Lytechinus pictus: one gene and its partner. The main gene of each other region encodes a partner of the protein of the gene in region 2 in a complex. Links are inferred from orthologs where the notes say so. Each region holds a gene or a part of one and is shown on either strand. Other genes may lie near its edges.

Region 1 (11,133 bases), on a different chromosome or scaffold from region 2:
CTTGATTTATCTGTAACTTCACATTTCAATAATTAAGTTAATAAGTTTATTTTTACTTTTCTACTTCTTTAATAAAGATGTTTATTCGCATCTTACCAAATGGCAAGACTATAACAACACTAGGCCACTTTTAATGAGAAACATTTATACCTAAAACCTTTTCTAATGCCCCTAAACCCTTTTTCTTGACAATACACATGTAATCCTGTAATGTCACTATAAACTTTTCAAGAATATTCCGGTTTTTAATCAAGTTTGTATTTTCTAATATAGGACTGGCTTGATTGAACATACCCCACCCTAAGAAAATATTTTAGCCCCTCCATCCTTGACTAAGCCCTAAGTCTCCTCCACTTGCTTCTCTGCATATCTTTAGTTGCCCCTTCACCTCCATCTGGCCACTTCTTTATCAAAGCCCCACCCCCATCAAAGAACCCTATAACACAGGGATGAAAGGTGTGATTCCTTTTCCCTGACAAATGATAATTCATATTCACCAAATAGTGAATAAATATTAAGGCACAATAGCAGATTTGTTGTTTCGTCATACTTTGGGCCATCACTATCTTCTTACCAATGAATGTGCGTCCATCCTGCAGGTTAACTCTCATCCTGTAGTTGATGTACTGCACCATCTTTGATGTCCTGCCCACCACCTGGAACAAAAAGATAAAGATTTTTTTCCCTTTTTATCCCAGAAAACAAAACGAACATGTACTTCCATAATAAAAAAAAATTCTTTCACATAATTCTTTTACATAGGCCTACATATTTTTTTAAACATACAATTTAATTCAATTTCAAATTTTTAATGAATAATGAAAAGAGCACTAGTGATGCTTAATTCATAAAATAATTTATATACCTCTTTTTATTGGTGGGGTTATTTTTCCATAAAATCAACCTTTTTCAAGATAAAAATATTTCTCCACTTCACCTCTGAGAGACATTTCATCAGCAAATTTGCAACCATGCAGTGTCAATTTTATTGCAATCAGTCCATTCCAAGGGTAAATCCAGGGGTAAAATCCATGATTTTGACTTCCATATGACCCTCGCTAATTTTGGACTCCAAAAGATCGATGACCGAAAATAATCTCATAAGGGGGAAGTTATTTTTGGCTAAAATGACAGTATGTTTAATCTATCACAAAAAAATCTGCAATGGCCACTGTGGGGTTTCCCCACGGCAAGAAATTTGACACCATTCCAAATATGGCACTCTCCCAAATATCGGACATCTTGGCCGGTTGAATTGGAAATGTGTGCTGTAAAAGCGCACTTGCTTTTCAGAACAGAGGCCCATGAATCTAAGCAAAGATATCCGATTTTTAGAGCCAAAAGCGGTCAGTTTGGTAAGTGAATAATAATTATTTATTGATTTCTATATAAAAATTGATAGAAATAATCAAAATCGGCATTTGCAAACCTGAAATTCAGCAACTATTAGGGGTTTTAGAGCGCAATTGAAATCGCCGAAATTGATCGTGGTGCCAAGCTGCGTGGCGCACACCACTCCTTCCTTGTCCGATATTCGGCAAAAAACTAGCTTCTGATCAGTAGAGGAACTTGTCCATAAATTGGGATTGTCCCCCCAAAAAAATAAAAGAAAAAGATATCCTCTGTCCTCATGTCTTGATAAATTGAGATTGTCCTTGTTTATGGGAACATAGATGGCAATTACAGGGAGTGCTAAAAATAGATTCAGTGACCTCAATGCCCCCCAGTTCAATGTTTACTTTATACGACTTGTCGTCTTCCAATAATCTTGTTATGAAACCTGAATATGTTTACTTGACTAGCGCACTTGATCGGTGTCTGCACTTACATAAACTTTCCTAGATTTCTTGTGTGGAGAAATCTTTCAAACTGAGACAGTCCCTGTAATTGTAAACTGGGACAATCCTAACCCAGGACTCGCCCGTGTATTATTAGGCAGAGGATACTCTCCAAAACGGGGTAGAATGGGGTCGCAATAGCACCCAAATAAAAGGGGAAAAAATGAATTTTTACTACTAATTATTTATAATTACGTATTAAATTTTAGTATTTGTGAAATAATAATTTTTATCTATAAATTGTTCTTCAAAACGGCATCGCTAGTTGGATGTATGTCATCACAAAGCGGTTCAAGGGTCAGGTCTATTGTCTTTGCTTTGTTGACAAACGGATCGAGGGATCTACGGGAGATCGGGTCTGGTAAGAAACGTCTCATTTTTACCATTTATAGTGAAATAATTTTTATCCCTTTATACGCATTAGGCGCCTGAAGGTTCATAGATAAATAAAATTCGACCCTACAAACCGATTTCACCCTCTAGTCTAACTATGGATTTCCTAGGAAAATCCATCTTTGTGTACATGTGTCTCTTATACATATATCAAGGCTCCACATTAACTTTTTTTTGTGGTGGCCCGTTCGGGCCACCAAAATCATCAAATAATTTTTGTTAGTGGCCCGATATTAAAGTTTGGTGGCCCGAAAAATATAAAGAAACACATTAAAAATTAATAAAACAAACTTCTGAAATATTAATTCTGCAGCCACTACGCTTAGTTACTTTCACTTTATCATCTTGTATGTAAACCTTGTTTGCTGTTATTTTACTTTGCTAATTGGCTTGTGGTAAAATATAAATTGTTTCTATCATTGTAAAAATGAAATGATTGAAAGAGAATAAATGAATTTTATTGTTCGCAGGTTGTGTGGACTTTTTTTTTAAATCTCCGTATAGACACACACTCATATTGGTAAAGTAAATAAATAGTGCATAGCAAACTCAGATAGATGTACAAAACAATTGTTTTTCATTTCTTCCTCTTTGAATCCTAAAACCTAGATTATGCAGGCCCCAAATCCAGTTTATTTCTGTTTTCTCTTTTGAAGCATATTATAGCAGGAGAAAATCACATAAATATATGCTGCAAAATTAGAACAATGCATAAAAGGGGGAAACAAATGAAAATAATTTTCAAAAAGTATATTACAAAAAGAAAACAAAAATAATAAAAGAAATAAGTGAAATAAAACAAAAGAAAGAAAATGAAGAAAGAAAAAACAAAGAACAGGGAAAAAAAGAAAAGAAAAAATTTAGAGAGAAAAAAAAAAAGTGAAAGAAAAATGAATAAAACAAACTTAATTTAAACATGGGGAAAAGGGGAAAATTAAGAAGCCATTACGAATATTTTTTAACAGCTGTGGCAACAGTCTATTCTGACTGGAATATAATTAAAAGCCAAGCAAATAATGTTCACTTACCTTCTGGGAATGGCACATTTCTATTTTTATATCCTTTAGTTTATTTTTTTTTCAGTAGAAACATATTTTTTAATCAGGCATATTCAATGGGAAGGGGTATAAATGGTTTAACCACTGTAAAAAAAATGATAGAAAAAAAAATAAGAAGAAAACAGCAAAAGTTATATCTGGAAAAAAAGTGTGAGAAAAGTCCTTCCCTATATTTGCCAAAATGTTGGAAAAATTCACATTTCATATCAATGAAATGCCTTCCCAAAGTATTTACTTTCTCAAGAGTGGTTTAAGAAGTCATTTATAAACAAGAAAGAAAGAAACTGTCTGTTTATTTTTGGCTAGAAAAGACACAGCTTCGAAAGAAACCAAGTATCAACATACATACAAATGCACATGTGGGACTGTGATGTACTTGCCTATGTGTTTTTATGTGTTTTAATTCATTTGGAAATCGGTCTTTTGTAGTCAAAAGAGAGGTCATAATTCCTCTTCTTAATGCTTGCAAATAATCAGGGTACACCAAATTTTCGTAATATAGACTGTAGAATGTCATTTCATTGGTGTAAAATGTGACTTTGACTCAGATTTTCAAAGTTCTGTGGAAGATTTCTTAGCAGCAACATTTTTTATCGGAGCTCCATCTAGAGCACAGCTGTATGCAGTGGCTTCATGCAAAGCTCACGCCAGCCGGCGTGGCTGGCTGGATAATAGCTACTGTATGCTATAGCTGTAGGCCTAATATGCAAACTTTGTGTGTGTGTATTTGTGTGTAGATCAACAAAAAGGGCGCATGACGAATTGGGTTGCAATTTGAACTGTAGAAAGTTGATAAATGCGTGCAAAATCGGGAGAAAAGTTGCGCTTCTTTGAAAATTATTGGTTGTCCGATTCGGGCCACCAAAACTTAACATTTTATCAATAATGGTTGCCCGAGGTGAATTTCTGGTGGCCCCAGGCCACCGCTAATGTCGAGCCTTGCATATATGGACAGGGATTCAAGACTCCACGATGAAGAAATATATGTCAAAATATTAAAAAAAACATCATCATCATGATCATGGAGTCCTCAAGACTACATGTAAGTAGATCCTAAGTAAATAAATTCTGTTTACCATATTCTTCCAATTGTTTTTTATGACATTACTACAATTCAACATTCATACCACAGAAAACATAGATCCTACATGAATTATATTTGATTCAATGATTGTATTTTTGTTTTGGATCAAATGACTGAATAAAATGAACTGAATTGAATATAAATTAAAAAAAATAAAAAGTGTGGATATTTGGGCACTTTACTCTACAAGTTACAACCATTCCCGATCGCGATATTCAGAAACGCAGGGGCATATTGACCTCAAAATGTGACTGAATTTACTTGCCATGACAATTTTGCAAGCAATTTCTGACTCGAAGTCGGCCAGTGTGAAATTGCATTGGCGCCGTAACATCACAAAATTTGTGAAGAATTAGATCAAGTGCAAAGTTCAGTTTCAGATTGTTTTATAATTCTTTACAACACATACAATTTTGAAATTTAGTCCAACAGTTTTTTTTTCAAGCTCCCGAGGCTGAGCTCCACAACTCAAAAGCCAAAACTGGATTAAAATACAATACAATGAATTAATACAAGTTACAAGAATCAAGATCAGAAGATACCAAAATTCTTTCTAACAGTAACATTAACAAAGTTAACGTGGAGCTCTGCGTTCCGTATCTGGCTTGAATTGGCCAAGTAAGGTAAGGAATGCAGAGCTCTACGATTTAGAGCCATATTAAGTTGAAAAACAACAACAGCTAATTTGTTTTCAACGACTTCACAAGTCTCTATGAAAGCCGAATCAATGCCATTTTTAGTTTCAAAGAGAAAACCGAAACATACACAGATATGTACATGTGGGACACCGTTTTCGAATACACACATCCCCGCAATAAGTCACAAATTGTGAGCTTCATTAGATAAATTAAAATAAATCGTAATACATTTCATCGCATATATGTATATTATTCATATAAATATATAGTTACCATTTTGAAAGATTGTTATAGCCCCGATGTAGAAGGATATTGACTGCTTTCGTCGACCGTCACAAACATTCGCGAAACGACACGCTCAGCTAGCTGGCTCGAGCAGCGCGAGCATATATGCAAATATATGACGCCAAACAGCACGCGCGGCGCAATACGGAAATTAAACCAATTACAGAGTCCGTCTCAGACCCCATCTTTGTCAAGTGGGAATTTACAGACGATTTGATTGGTCCTTAAGCACAACAAAGATGGCAGCGCCCATGGCCATACTTTTCTACGTTGTCGATGTCTTGCATTAGGACTCTATAGGAGACTATTTTATCAGTTCTAACTTCATCTCTTGAATTGAAAATGGATGAAGACGAATATGGAGATGTTGACTGGAACTATGACCAGGCTGTACGTATGCTTAGTAATTCTTTTTAGCATTGTCTCATTTGTCTGGGTTGGGCGCCAACTGCACTCCGTCTCCATACCAGCCGGCGGGCGCGCCGGGCCCGCGGACTTTGCCCGTGCCTGCGCCCGTTCTGCCTGGCTATGGCTATGCCTATGGCTATGCCGCTGTTCGGTAAACGCGGTAGCAGTGCCAGTGCTGAGGGTTACGATACCTCGTCCTCGGGCGAAGTTCGTGCAGGCTCCACTTCACTACCACTGACCACTACGCTACGAGCGTAGTGGAGCGGAGCCTGCATGAACTTCGCCCGAGGTAAGGTCGGATTACCAGTGGCAGTGCTGAACTTAGACAGCTGGCAGCCCTCTGTTTCGAGGAGTTTTCTGACACTTTTAAAATTATTTTTTTTAATTTCTCCTTATTATACACAAACGGCTTGCTATCCACTCTAGGCGACACCCCAATACTTACCCGTGCTAATAAACTGGGACTCCACTCACGCGCATTTGGGCCGCCCTAGCTTAGAACTAAGCTTTGTTTTACTAAAAAATAAATCTTGTAATGATTCAATAAATGTTACTTAATAAATTAGTACTGTTAAATCGGTACTCACCGGTTCTTTTCTTGAATTTTCTGGCAATTTCCCACGCTTCTGGCTTCAATTCTGCGGCTGTTCCTGTCGCGGTAGACAACTACATATGCAACTTTATTTATAAATAGAGCGCCCCTTACGATAGTTGTTAAGAACGCGGCCAAATTGTTAGGTTTTTTGCACTGTGTCCAAGGCGTTTTTATTTTGTTTGATTTTTTATTTTTAATAAATATTTTGTTAAATAGCGATTTTTACGTCAAATATTAAATTCATATCACAAAATATTTTTTATTGTAGAAATATATATAATATCATGCAATTATTCATTCTATATATATTTTATAATAAAATTTATAATTGTTGCGGTCTTTAAAAAAGGATAGTCGATTGATCAGGTGATGACCACATGTATCACGTGATCTGAAAATCAGCTTCATACCGCTTTGATCGCACTCGACATTGACCGGACTGACTGCCAAAAAAAGATCGAAAAATGACTCAAATGTAAGTTTCCCTTTATTTTATTAAATTCAAATTAGGAATAGGAATATATTTAATGGGCAATCTTTTAATAAATGATAAACAAACGAGGACAAAACTCATATTTTGGGAGTAATATACTTGGGTGCAGGAAACAGTACGTTTAGAAGTTCTAACCTGTTTTTAACGCATTGTCGCCTATGAGGTCCATACATGTTAATGTTTGGACCTCATTGGTACTAGGAGTGTAGACAGGAATAACCGTCGTTTCTGGGGATTTATTCAACAATTTCTGACATTTTACTGTAATCCCCATTTACCGACGGTAGGGTGTACGTGTGGGCTCGCATGTGTTCTCATTCCCTCCCTTTTGTCAATTCACAGTCCAAAGTTTGATGTAATTTTACACATCGAATTTACAATCTAAGGATGTATAAACAACAAACTTTTAATTGATGATATTCTAACATTTAAATACTTTAAACGATATAGATGAAAAAGGCATGAAAAATATACTTTACCGATGTTTAATTGGGTTGAACACGATAAAAATGGTCAAAATGGCAGCCAAACTATAAAATATTTACAAACGAACGTCAACAATCACGAATGTGATATCGATATTGCTTTCGATATTATACGATCTGCTCCATATGCGATCGAAACCGAAGATAAACGATACTAGTTATACTAGTACTAGTACTAGTTATAATCGCGATATATCGATTCGAGACATTAAGTTAATAACGATAATGACGTCATTCAAGATGGCAACTTGCAAGAAAAACCGTCAGGTCAGGTGAAAATGTCTTAGATGACAGATTTCTCAATCATCCAGAGGATTTTTTTCAATAACTCCGGCCCAAGGTATGCAATTACTTAATTTATTTATACTTCCCTGATAATGGAAACCATGAAACTTTCAATTTTGCTTAAAAAACAGTTTTAAATCGCGATCTATAAAACGCTAGTTCACTATACGTTGGCTGTAGGTACGGGGCCCCACCCCCTTCAGTCTATGTATGGTGAGTGGAGCCAACGTAGTTCAGCGGAACAACCAAAATACAGAGACTGAAGCTTTTGGTCTACTAGGAGTGTTGCTATCGTGCAGCCACCATAAGGGCACTCTAGGCGACACCCCAATACTTACCCGTGCTAATAAACTGGGACTCCACTCACGCGCATTTGGGCCGCCCTAGCTTAGAACTAAGCAATATTATCTAGAAATTGTTACATTGTAGTCATTAAATATGTTCTATTAAATAAATTGATAATGTTTAATCGGTACTCACCGGTTCTTTTGTTGCATTTTCAGACCATTTCTCACAATTCTTCGTAAATATTTGCGGCAAATTTTGTCGCCATAGACAGCTTAGCATCCATCTTTATTGATAAATGGAGCGCCCTTTACGATAGTTGTTAATGCCGCGGAGAAATCGTTAGGCATTTTGGCCTGTGTTCAAGGCGTTCTTTCTGTTTTATTTTTTATATTGAAGATTGTGCATTTGTTGAATAGCGCCGTCTACGTCAGGTATGAGATCGAGTGTATAATTATAAATACACTCTTCCAAAATAATTATGATTCCGACCTGGCGCTGTTTAACTTCAATCTCTTTCACCTAAATTAGCGATGAATGCTAGCATTATAAAATATATATTATTAACGTCTGACGAAAAGAATAACCAACCGATCAGCTGACGAGAACGCGAATCACGTGATCTTCATATCAGCTTCGATCGCGAGTCAGAAGAGAAGAGCAGCTGCCCAGAAAATCAGGAAAAAGCCGTGAAAATGTAAGTTCCCCTTCATTTCTTTCATTTTTTTTTGTTGCTAACGATGCATTTACACTATAAAATTATAATTTAAATAAGAGAAAGGAATATAGCTTGTACTTGTGATATAACATATAAATATCCTGTTCTCAGAGATTTCTAACCAAAAATACTACTGATGTCGCCTATGAGGTCCATACATGTAATGTTGGACCTCATTGGTACTAGGAGTGCCATAAGGGTAGCCAGGCGGCTTCTTGAGAGTAAAAATCATTGTCGTAGGCTTACTCTAAACGAAGCCAGGGAGTCCTTCCTATTCATCTGCGTGTACCGCAAAAAACCCTGAAACTTTCGCCCCCGAGATTTCTACTTTCCTTCTAAAAGATTTAGCTCTAAATCATGTACATGGGATAAAACTTCATTTCCGACATTTCTACGCTCTTGTTGTTATTTTTAAACAAGAATTTATCCAAAAAATGAAAAAATATTGTGAAAAGACGGAAGAGACTTGACGCTCGCGTCCGTAACGTTGGGGAAGTACAATAAGAAACAAGATGGCGGCGTAAACATCGGGCAAGTCTCTTCCGTCTTTTCACAATATTTTTTCATTTTTTTGGATGAATTCTTGTTTAAAAATAACAACGAGAGCATAGAATGATTTAGAGCTAGATCTTTTAGAACTAGAAGGAAAGTACATCTCGGGGGCGAAAGTTTCAGGGTTTTTTGCGGTACACGCAGATGAATAGGAAGGACTCCCTGGCTTCGTTTAGAGTAAGCCTTCGTTAGTAAATGATTTTTACTCTCAAGAAGCCGCCTGGCTACATAGGGGGTTAGCACTCATTCTATGATTTTTTATGAACAAGGTTATGGGTAGCCTGGAGCAAAAGTCATCTACTAACGTAGCCTCGTAGGCTTACTCCCCAATGAACAGTAGAGGCGCACAGCCAATATGGGAGACTCTCCAAGTCCAATATGGGAGACAATCTCCACTATTGGAGACTTGCTTTGCAAAAGAACAAATACAACACCAACAAAAGCGTAATTTTTTCCTCCCAAAATTTTGTCTCACTAAGGTCAGAAGCCCATTTGTTTTGTGTGTGGATGACAACAAAAATCCTTATCAAAACAAAAGTAGACGGTGAAAAAGGGTAATTTTTCATGAGGAATAGATCGAATCAAGGCCCATTTCAAAACATTGCATGCAACGAACGTAGAGGGCAGCAACACACATCAGTGTTGCTATTACTTAGGATCAAGGTCCACTCGATACGCGCATACAATGTTTTGAAATAGGCCGTGAATAATATGTGTGAGGAATTTGATACTGGCCCAAAATCACCAATTTTGAGGATAACTGGAGGATGGACACAGTGAAATAAGGGTGAATAGTAAGAAATTAAGCTTTTTTTTTTTTTTTTTTTTTTTTTTTTTATCCCACCTTTGCCTCTAGTGGTATCCGAAAGAGTTCACGGTCCCGAAGTTCGGGTAGGTGGAGCGTAGTGTAGCGGTAGTGGAGTGGAGCCTGCACGAACTTTGCCCGAGGTAGGGGGGTTAATGCAAAATCCCCCCGACAGTCACAGGGCTCATCAAATTTTGTCTTTAAGACTTTATTTCATAAAAATATGTTATGTAAAAAGAACTGTACCAAAATAAAGATTATTATTCCGTTTGGCCTCAAATGCACCAAAACGGGGAAAAATAAACTTAAAAGAAGAAAAAACAGTGATTTCGGCTGTCGCGCAACTTCACTTCCCTGTTTTATCCAAACTTAATACATAAACATATGGCCATTTACCTCGGGCGAAGTTCGTGCAGGCTCCACTTCACTACCGCTACACTACACTCCACCTACCCGAACTTCGGGACCGTGAACTCTTTCGGATACCACTAGAGGCAAAGGTGGGATAAAAAGTTATTTATTGTGAAAATTATAGAAAAAAAATATAACGAGAAAGAAAAATAGCTTAATTTCTTACTCTACACCCGTATTTCACTCCGTGTCCATCCTCTGGTTATCCTCAAAATTGGTGATTTTGGGCCAGTATCTAATTCCTCACACGTATTATTCACGGCCGATTTCAAAACATCGCATGCGATCGGTTGCAGGTCGAACAGCATAAATATTTATATTATATTGGATGGCTCAGAAAATACCAGAAATATTCTAAGAGTTAGGGAAAATATTCCACGAATTCATTAAAATATTACTTTTGTAACCAATTCATTTCCCCATGGCTACAGTTGCAATTTAATTTTCATTTAAACTTGTATTCACCAGACAAGAACGCTAAAAAACTTGAATTTTGGCATATTTTTGTGGAAAGTAAAATTGCAAGAAAATTGTCCTCCAACAATCTCTATTTCTAAGTTAGAAAAAATGATTTAAAGAATTCAATTTACTTAAGAGCCAAGTTATATAATGAATAGTTGTATTGGAAACTGACTCTATAGACAGAGTAAATAAAAATCAGACAGAAGCTGTAGACCTGTATGGGTTTAATCAATGAATGTGTATTATTATTCCTCTTGTGCAGGAAGCCCCAGTGGATGAGGATGAAGAGGAAGAAGAAGATGAGGACCCTGATAGATACAAAGAGAATGAAGACATCC
Region 2 (10,563 bases):
CCACTGGGCCACAAAGCCCCCCACATTAAAAGTCAACTTCAATACTTTTTACCTTGAATTACATTGATATTAGGCATAAAGTATATAGGGACAGTGATTTTCCCTTTCAAAAAATTGCCGATTCCGTTTCAGAAAATCTCAAATTCCGTTTCAGCATGTCAGAAAACGGAAATTCCGTTTCCCCATAGACTTTGTACACACGGAAAAGTGACAATTCCGTTTACACATTGAATAGCAAAATCACAACACGTACACTCGCACTGGTCAAAACTTGTATCTGCTACTGTACCAACAACACAATAGAATCCGTTCCAATCGAATTTATGCGGGTGCATAAAATATTTTTACAAACCCATTTAGCATGCATACATCCTCACCTTTCACATTATTAGCATTATTTCACGGTGAAATGATATTTCATCGATAATTTTGGGGTTTTTTGGACATCGTTATCATCAGTCAACGACTTTTGCCAATCCGCCATCTTGGATTTTAAGACCCCGATATCGTGCTGTTACATCTTCAAACGTAGAGGGCAGCAACACACGACCGTGTAGTTGAACGATATGTGTGCATGTGAAGCCCAACCTTGAGCCCAACCCGGCCGGCCGGGTACGGTGCGGGGTACAATCGAGTGTGCTGATGTCGATGTAACGATGTGTGAATTGTCATGATAGTAGCGAAGTGAGATCGTGTTTTCTGGGGTTTTGTGGCCATTCAATATTCTCATTTTGTTGTGATTTTGGAGTAATTTCTGTTGCTATTCTGTGTATTTTGAGGGAAAATACGTTTTCCGTGATTTTACGTTTGATATGCCACTTTCCGTTTCAAAAGGCCCTTTCCGTGAATTCCCTCCGTTTTCCGCGATCGCGGAAAATCACTGTCCCTAAGTATACAGGACTTTATATCTGCCCCTCAACATCCACTCTCAACTTGTCCTCAGCCAATGTCAACAATTATAGCGGTATGCATGTAAGTTTGGATGCCTTATGAGAATTCTGTGTCTAGGTCAAAATGGTTAACTCTGGTTTTCGAGGCCTTCTCTAGGTTAGATTTGTATTAAATCAAATATCACATATTTCTTTAATTAATAGTAATAATACATGGGATTTGTATAGCGCACTTTCCATCTTGATTAGATGCTCAAGGCACTTCAGAGCAGAACAACAACAAAAGCTACTTGCATAAAATACATGTCTGAATAATAAGTCAATGTCTATCAAAAAGCACTCTGAAACAGGTACATGTTTTCACGTTGCCCTTGAAAGTGGTCACTGAAGTCTAAGTTTTCAAACTCTGTGGGAAAATTCCACAGGTTAGGCCCTGCATGAACAAAGGCCCGTTCCCCGCATGATTTCTTAGCAACTGGAATTTGGAAGAGATTAAGAGATAATGAGGATCGTAAGGTTCTTGAAGGTTGGTAATTATGCATCAAAGACTAACTGGGGGAAGTTACATGGACTATTAAAAAAAAAATCAAAAGAAGGGTCTTAAAGACTATGCGTTCCTTCAGGGGCAACCAAATAATGAACACTGTGCTAGAAGAGTCGGTTACACTTTGACTTCGTAATTCTGAAGGTTCGTAATTCCGAAACACGTAAATTGCCTATACCTCGATGTTCGTTAATCCGAAAACGAAAAAGGGTTCGTTAATCCGAACATTTGTGGCGTAATTTTGAAGGTTCGTTAATCCGAAAAGGAAATGAGAGTCGTAATTCCGAAGGTTCGTTAGTCCGAAAACAAAATAAAGCTCGTAATTCCAAAGGTTCGTTAGTCCGAAAACGAAATGAACAACGAACCTCATTTCGTTTTCGGATTGTCGAACCTTCGGAACATCGAACCTCATTTCGCTTTCGGATTAACGATCCTTCGGAATATCCGAACCTTCGGAATTACGAATGTATACGGAAGAGTCCATGGATATACCACACAGAGGTCCACAAGACCGAGTGCGGTGTATCCTTTTGGCGAGTCGAGCACAGAGTTCATTATTTAGGTCCTCTCTGCACAAGAATGTGTGTATTGTTTGTTTTATATGACCCCCCCCCCCTCACCCATATTACTGAGTTGCCCCGAATGCTATATTTGATCTAATTTCTAGAAAATTCTTGATAATTCCAGAACTCGCACTATCCTGCACTTTGACGTCAGAGTGCAGGATAGTGCATTTTGGATGCAATAGTGCGATTCGCTGAATATCATGTGATCCGTTTTGGACCAATCAGATTACAGAACATTCTTGGGCGTTGAATAACACCAGAAGGGACTCCATAGATTTAAGTATAAAATAAAAACTTTTTTTTTTATTAGTGATTGTGCACAATAAGAATTTCACACAAAATGTTTTTTTAAATCCATTTTGAAAGCTTCGGTCTCGTCTTTGATTGAATTGTTATCAATTTCAGATATTTATAAACATGAATATATTATTTTCTTCATAAAATGAGAGGACATTTGAAGCTAAACTTGTACAAAAGTGGTTGAATTACGGATTGCCATAATCGATTGTGATTTTAATCGGTCCAAATCGTTTTGTATTTAATAAAGACATAAATTCCCTCCTCCTATGCATCACAAATAGTTTGTCTTATTGGCAATGACCTTGAAAAAAGTAAGACAAATTAATTAATACTAAATCATCCAAGTACTCATTATGGACTACCGATACTGCAAATTATCAACATGATCAGGCATTCATTCTGTGAAAACATCAATTTGGAAATGTGTTGTAAATCTCACAGGTTTTGCCAATTTTTATGGCATTTACAGCTATTTTTAGATCAATGTCAAGGTCAAAAGATAAATATGTGACTTTATGTATTATTTGGAGCTTAAAAAAGAACCAGAAAGGAACAAGATTTGCAATTATCAGCTTAAAGTCACTGTTAGTATTGAAATAACACAAACTGTTACCAGGCTTTAAAAAAATAGGCTTTCTTGTGCTTTTCACTGGCCTCAAAGCCGTGACAGTTGTACAGCCCCGAATGCTATATTTCTTCTAAATTCTAGATACATGTAATTTTGATAATTCCAATTTCTAGAACTCGCACTATCCTGCACTCTGATGTGACCTGAAACACACACAAGATATTCAGGGATACATGGTTACTCTCATGTTCCAAGTTTCCATGAACTAGATCTATTAACTTTTTAAAGTTATGATGACAATTCCTAACATACCCCCAACATTATCAAAGTTTGTTCCATATATTTTCATAAGTTATGACATTTCAAAAACTTAACCTTGGTTAAGATTTCAATGTTGACGACACCGCCGTCCCTGTTGGAAAAGCGGCACCTAGTCTCACTCTGCTATGCAGGCGAGACAATAAGAGATGAAGGAATAAGGGTAGAAATAGAATTTTAAAGAACAGAAGAGATAACAAAATTCAAAGCATGTTCCCAATCGCGTTAAGTTGAAACAGGAAGTCGAATCAACCTATTCTCAGCTGCTTTTATATTGGTTAAATTCATATCCTAAATTTGAAATATTTTTCCATTGTCAATATTTTCTATTTCCGTAGTAGTATCAGCACCCCAGCCTGCTAGCGTTTGCTGACGGCCCGCTCATTTTGCCGAAGTCCTGCTGCTTCAATTTCTCTTGTCAAGTGCTCGCCTATATGTATGAATGATCTCATCATTTCAGATTTATATCGGATTAAAATTTTACTTTCTCAGCTCAGGATACGAATAATTTTTACAGTCATGAAGTACTGATTTGTTCATAGTGGCACACCAAATTTGAACTTATTTTTTAAAGTAGAGTGATTCGCTAATCAATGACTTTGTCACGGAAAGAAGCAAACATGACTAGATCTAGAGCTGGAATTGTACAGGACACTAGCCGCAGAGTTGTTTGCTGAGGCCCGCTATATGGACGAAGATCGCTTTTTTAATTAATTAAACTGTGAGACTGTTCATAATATCAAACAAATTTGGAACTAATTTTGGAAGAGGACTGATCAGGAGTTGGTTACTGAATTACTTTTGTCAATTTTTTTATATTGACTTTCAGACTTTATATATCTAGACATACATGTATGTCAACCAGGCCTAGGAATAACTACAGTCAGTAGAACTGTATCAATTTTTTTTTTTTGGTACAGTTTGCCAACTCCAAAAATACCTAGAAATTGTCATCAAAAGTATGCTTCAAATTGCACCATTTGACATACAAAATTAAAAAAGCGTCAGGCCAGACTGTGGGAGAGGAGACACCCCCCTCTCACACCCATCCGCCGCACGATCGCTCTGCTCCCTCGATTGTTGCAACAAAATATTTTCTTTTCTTTTTTCTACCCCACTCACATGCCTGTCTTTATTTTGTTTATCCAAGTTTACATACCGTAGACCATATGAAATTGAAACAATAATGTTGCTACGCTTGTTTTTTTTTTCAATTTTTGTGAAGTAAATCATTTTATGTTGGAAGCATAACCCCCCCTCCCCCCTCCCAATAAAAGAATGCCATGTTTCTTAGCAATAATGATAGTCGTATTATCATGTTTATGAATATATTTACAGTTGGAAGAAAAATTGAACTAAAGTAAAAAAAAAAAATAAAAAATAAAAATTGTCATGCTCTTCAGTATTTTATTGTGAAGTTTGTCATGTATCAAGTGTAAAAATTTCCACACCGCAAAATTTTCCACTTTTACAGTAGTCTATAACTATAAGCAACAATTTTCATAACCATTCTTTATAGAAACAAAATTCATTATAAATATATGACAGACCTTCGTTGTGACAAACTGGCTGAGGGTTCGCAAATGGCGATCCATTATTTTATAGTTTCGAACCAAAGTTCTGAAAAAAATTGCAGAACCAAACTCGAACATGCTGCCTGACTTAGCAGCACTATTTTCATGAGAGTCGTTCATTGAGAATGACGAGAAAAAACGCAGAGGAGAATAGAATACAAGCAGAATATTACACTTTACAAGGAGATTGCATTGGATTTGACATGAAATATATTAATTTTTTTTACTATTCTTCTTGACTAAATAATTGGCAAATTGAAATACAGAACTTTTTGTGTACATTGTTTGAGTATACATATCTGCTCAAATTTTTTTCTAAAAAAGTTATTCAAATGCATTAAAATGATAAATAATTGTATAAAATTGGGGAAGAACTTTGGGCTTTAAGAAGCATAAACAAGACATTAAATAAGTACTGTATGTAATAATATTTTTTCCTGTCTCATGTCAAGTTGAATGAGTCTAGCCTGGCTTCATGTTAATAATTGATCAATAGATATGTCTATGGCTATGACTGTCTATTTTAAAGTTAACATTAATATTTAACTTACCTGAACATTCATGTAACCATCAACAGATACTAAGTAGCCCTTGTACTCCATTCCCCATTTGAGACGAACCATCACAGGCTTTCCAGTGAGTCCATTTAAAAATGGCTTGGGATTCAGTGGCATTCCCTGTATACATATAGTAGTAAAAAAATTCAAATTTAAAGCTCAAGAATATTTGCCATTGCTTGGAGTGTAACACGCCTACATGTACTTTAGACCAAACCCAATATTTGCCCACCTATCATATGATCATAGCCAGTTAGCACATTTATTCACCATAAAGTATGGTAATCACAAGAAAATACTCTCAAAGCCCGAGTCATAAAGTCAAAAACTTTCCTCACAATCCTAATATCACCATTAGCATAGAATACCGGTACCATTTCCATGACCATGCAGAGATAAATCTACAGTGCATTTCTACGTTGACTGTCACATCATCAAGGAATTACATCAGTCACCTACAGTGTTAAACTTACTCCTGATGCCATGGCCGCCTAGACGATCGTGATGAATGTGCAGTTTGTCATTGAATTCTTGTCAATTTGGGGGTTACTTAGGGGTATTCCCCGACTCTTTCTTTAGAATTTATCATACATGTACATACCGACACACTAAGCTATCTGCACATTAATGAAGAAACAAATTTCAAGATGAATTTGCTTATTAATATTCAAACTATTGAGAGTTATTATTGGAAATTTCACTTCCAGAAACTGTATACATGTAGGCCTATCCACTAACTTTTATTCAGAAAATGACATTTCATCATTTACCAATTACGGCTAAATTATTGAATAGCAAATTATGATTTGGGGGGGGGTGATGACGTGAGAATTTATTGTCAACGTCATGTCAACGTTTAAATTGTCCCATGTGCGAGTCTTGTAACAGCGCGAGAACTAGTTAAGTGTTTTGCATAAAACAATATAGAGGTTTCGGCGCAGAAATCGAAAAATCTCTTAGGCTACTAAATCTATTGAAAATCAACGGGTCTCAGTGTGTAGTGAAATTCAGGTACCACATACTTTATGACTCCGGAGTCAGCATTCACGATATGGCCCAATTATTGCAGATGCCGAACAAACAAGTTTGCATGTTAAACTCCAAAAGCCTCCAAGACCAAATTCGGACCACTCTACCTCTGTGAAAACATTTCATAACCTTAATTCAGCTTGTGGATAGTTCCCTGTGTTTATATTCTTTGTACACTACATACAGCAATGCAAAATGAGAAGATAAACTATTTTGGAATTAAAAAATTCCTAAGTTAGCCATCATAAAATATAATGAATTATATGGTCGCTAGTGCTGTTGTCGATAGGCCTCATATCGACATTGATGTCGCCATACAAAGGAATTTCAAAATTCTGACATGTCGACATGCACGCACCCACATCGACATGTAAACATAAAATAAAAAGAGGTCTAGCCTTAAGTCACGAGTGTAAAGCTTAGCTGAAAAGTTAGAAGCATTTATCCACAGTAATTGGCGCGATTAAAAGGTTTATTCAGCTTAGCAGCGCATTAAATGAAAAAAGAATACCTGCGAGCTGCGTAGCAGCAGAAATAAGTCAGTGCGGGGCCGGCCTGCCCGATCAAGCCGCCCTCGATCCTGACTATCTCTCTAGATCTATATGTAGCGCTATAGCGAGAGTAGCGTAGCATTCACCGTACCCATCGCTATTCACCGTGCTTGATAATACGTTGCTCCTCAATCCATTACTTTTCACATAAACGTGAGCAGCAGCGTTTTTGTCAAAGTTGTGACCGCCGTAATTGAGAGCTTACTTCATATCACGAAGTCAAAGAAAACTTCCCTTTCTTTGTTTGGAGATCGTTGCACGGATCGCCGCGGAAGTGATACTGAAATTATCGGTCAATTTTCATTATTTTTTATTGTCAATTTGAGGTGCTTGCATTTGCAGCACATGTGTACTAGCGTATATTATGCAATGATCACTGTTGTAATTGGTGATTCTCAAATTGGCACCGAGTGTTGCGCAATGCTTTCGAGACCGGATCGTGGTACAAAAACTTGATTCTTCAGAAAAAATGTGGATTACATCAGTGATTTTGGAAGTGAATTCACTCTAGCTTAGTGAAAATATGTTTTCCCGAACTGAGCCTGTATTTTATCGATCTTGAGTTAGTGTGCGCATGGGATATCACTCGTGTCAAGGTTAATACATTTGATTGAGAGTGTAAATGTTATGTTCCACGATCGAATGATTTTTTTCATGTTATGTTAGGGAGCCTAGGCTAAATTACGGTCCCTTTTTCATGTCGACATTGTCGATGTCAGGATTAATTTTCAAGCGACATGTCGACATGGATTTTTGTTCCCAACAACAGCACTTATGGTCGCATTTCATAAGTTGGGTATGCAAAAAGGGTGGTGGATGAACAATTTTCAAAATGGTGCCATGGAAGAATTGTTGCTACATGTACATCACAGCATCTTGACCAAATTTATTGAGCAAGATCTCATTTTGAAGCTAGAAATATATGCTAAATATATTACTATAAATTTTACAATATCAGGAGCAACAAGAGTGTCACTAAGGCACAGAATATGGTGTTATTGACCTTAACTGACCTTTGACCTTGGTTTTGTGACCTGAAACTCACAGGGGATGTTTAGTGATACTTAATTACTCTTATATCCCAAGTTTTATGAAATAGATCCATAAACTTCAGAGTTAGGATGGTAATTCAACAAATACCCCCAACACGGCAAAAGTTCATTGACCTTAAATGACCTTTGACCATGGTCATGTGACCTGAAACTCGTACAAGATGTTCAGTGATACTCGATTACTCTTATGTCCAAGTTTTATGAACTAGATCCATAAACCTTCAGAGTTAGGATGGTAATTTAACAAAGACTCCCAACACGGCTAAAGTTCATTGACCTTAAATGACCATTGACCATGGTCATGTGACCTGAAACTTGCACAGGATATTCAGTGGTACTTGATTAACCTAATGTCCAAGTTTCATGAACTAGATCCATAAATTTTCAAAGTTATGAAGGTAATTCAACAAATACCCCCAACTTGGCCAAAGTTCATTGACCCTAAATGACCTTGGCCATGTGACCTGAAACTCAGGCAGGATGTTCACTAATACTTGATTAACCTTATGTCCCAGTTTCATGAACTAGATCCATAAATTTTCAAAGTTATGATAGTAATTCACAGGCATGAAAATTGGGTATGAAAAAAAAAGCTGAAAGGGTTTAGGAAATGTCGTTGACAAGACGGTGGGCGAAGCCCACCGGGCGAGCGGCTTGCCGCTCGCTGCTAACGGGTGGGGTCCAGGGGGCAACGCCCCCGGAAGCTCCTGGGTTTTATCAATTTTACAACTCCAAAAACCTGTTTGAGTTGAATGATTGTAATGAAGTATTTATATGGATTTTTTGTCCAAAATTCAATAAAAAAAAACTAAAAAATACTAAAAAATAGCAATAGCACTTCCCTGGTTTATCAAGTTTCCTGATCACTTCAAGCAGGTTGTATGAAGAATTGTCGGGTCCTCTCACCTCCACCTCTAACCAACTCCATCGCCACATATTAGCAAGTCCACGGTCAATTTCATGAACATCTTTTGAAAGTCTATCCACAACATCTGTGCGGTCACAAGTTAGTCCCCCACAAAATGCCATTTTTCTTGATTCGTTATTACAACAACAAGAAAAAACAAAATTCTTGGATTTCCAGCAAATTAATATTCGCGAATTATAAATGCGTCATGAAAATTCCATGTCACGTCACAAATCTCTGCGAGCACATTCAGCTTCTTTATCGGTCTTCCACCGGTCCGATATGATATGCGCGCCCGGTCGCTGCATGCCCGGCGCGCCGGGTTGCCCCCAGCGATTGCAAGCACACCACCGCTGCACTGCATGCACAGAAACGTAAAACACACCGCGAAATACACGTGTAGAGTTGAGATGTGCTAGATAAGAGATTCCTGCGCAATCGTTGTAAAGGCCAAACGTCATATAACACGTAAGATATGCTAAACCATTTAAGCGCTAAAAATCGGAAATTAAAACGCGGATTTTAGGAGTAAAAAAATGGAAATTCAGCAAACAAAAAACGCGGAAATCCGCGGAAACGCGGAGAATTTTCATGCCTGAATTCAACAAAAAAACCCAACTTGACCAAAGTTCATTGACCCTAAATGACCTTTGACCTTGGTCATGTGACCTGAAACTCAAGCAGGATGTTCACTAATACTTGATTAACCTTATGCCCAAGTTTCATGAACTAGGTCCATATACTTTCTATGTTATGATGTCATTTCAAAAACTTAACCTTCGGTTAAGATTTTGAAAATAATTCTCCCAACATGGTCTAGGTTCATTGACCCTAAATGACCTTTGACCTTAGTCATGTGACCTGAAACTCAAGCAGGATGTTCAGTAATACTTGATTAACCTTATGTCTAAGTTTCATGAACTAGGTCCATATACTTTCTAAGTTATGATGTCATTTCAAAAACTTAACATTAGGTTAAGATTTGATGTTGACGCCGCCGCCGCCGTCGGAAAAGCGGCGCCTATAGTCTCGCTCTGCTATGCAGGCAAGACAAAAACGGATGTGTCATGTTAAAAAAAATTGCTTACTGACTACTTTTCTGAAAAAACAAGGCAAAAGCGCTTTTGTCACGGCCGATTTCAAAACATTGCATGCGATCGGCGCAACCGATCGTATGCGATGTTTTTAAATCGGCCGTGAGTAATACGTGTGAGGAAACTGATATTGGCCCAAAATCACCAACTTTGAGGATAACCAGAGGATGGACACGGAGTGAAATACGGGTGTAGAATAAGATATCAAGTTATTCATCTTTGTCGTTATATTTTTTTTCTTTAATTTTTACAATAAACATGATTGTCATCCCACCTTTGTGACTCGGTATATCCGAATTGGTTCACCGTCCCGAAGTTCGGGTAGGTGGAGCGTAGTGTAGCGGTAGTGAAGTGGAGTGGAGCCTGCACGAACTTCGCCCAAAGTAATTGAACCCTAGACCTCTCAGGGGCTATCTAAATAAACTTCCCCCCTATACATGTATAATGTATATTGCCTATTCATTGGATATTTCACCATTTTGACCTTTTGGATCACCCATTAAGTCAAAAGCGCATTTCTACTATAATACTAGTACAGCCAATTTTATTTTCTTGTAATGACTTGGAGAGGAAAGAGTAGGCTTTGCTAGTTTGCTCTATCAGCTACCTATAA

The links. Proteins that work in one complex are often made in the same cells at the same time.
Region 1: small nuclear ribonucleoprotein F-like (region 2) and small nuclear ribonucleoprotein-associated protein B'-like share a complex: the UniProt entries of both Homo sapiens proteins name them as parts of the U7 snRNP complex. The link is inferred for Lytechinus pictus from reciprocal best matches to the Homo sapiens genes SNRPF and SNRPB.

What each region holds. Positions count from the first base shown.
Region 1 is NC_087246.1:62,256,377-62,267,509, reverse strand, and holds the start of small nuclear ribonucleoprotein-associated protein B'-like, read right to left. Parts: upstream 5,392-11,133; 5' UTR 5,288-5,391; coding exon 5,285-5,287; intron 657-5,284; coding exon 575-656; intron 1-574. Other genes in the region: negative elongation factor D-like, read left to right, coding at 5,639-5,686, 11,058-11,133. UniProt on the Homo sapiens protein: Plays a role in pre-mRNA splicing as a core component of the spliceosomal U1, U2, U4 and U5 small nuclear ribonucleoproteins (snRNPs), the building blocks of the spliceosome.
Region 2 is NC_087247.1:76,327,061-76,337,623, reverse strand, and holds the start of small nuclear ribonucleoprotein F-like, read right to left. Parts: upstream 5,475-10,563; 5' UTR 5,435-5,474; coding exon 5,312-5,434; intron 1-5,311. UniProt on the Homo sapiens protein: Plays a role in pre-mRNA splicing as a core component of the spliceosomal U1, U2, U4 and U5 small nuclear ribonucleoproteins (snRNPs), the building blocks of the spliceosome.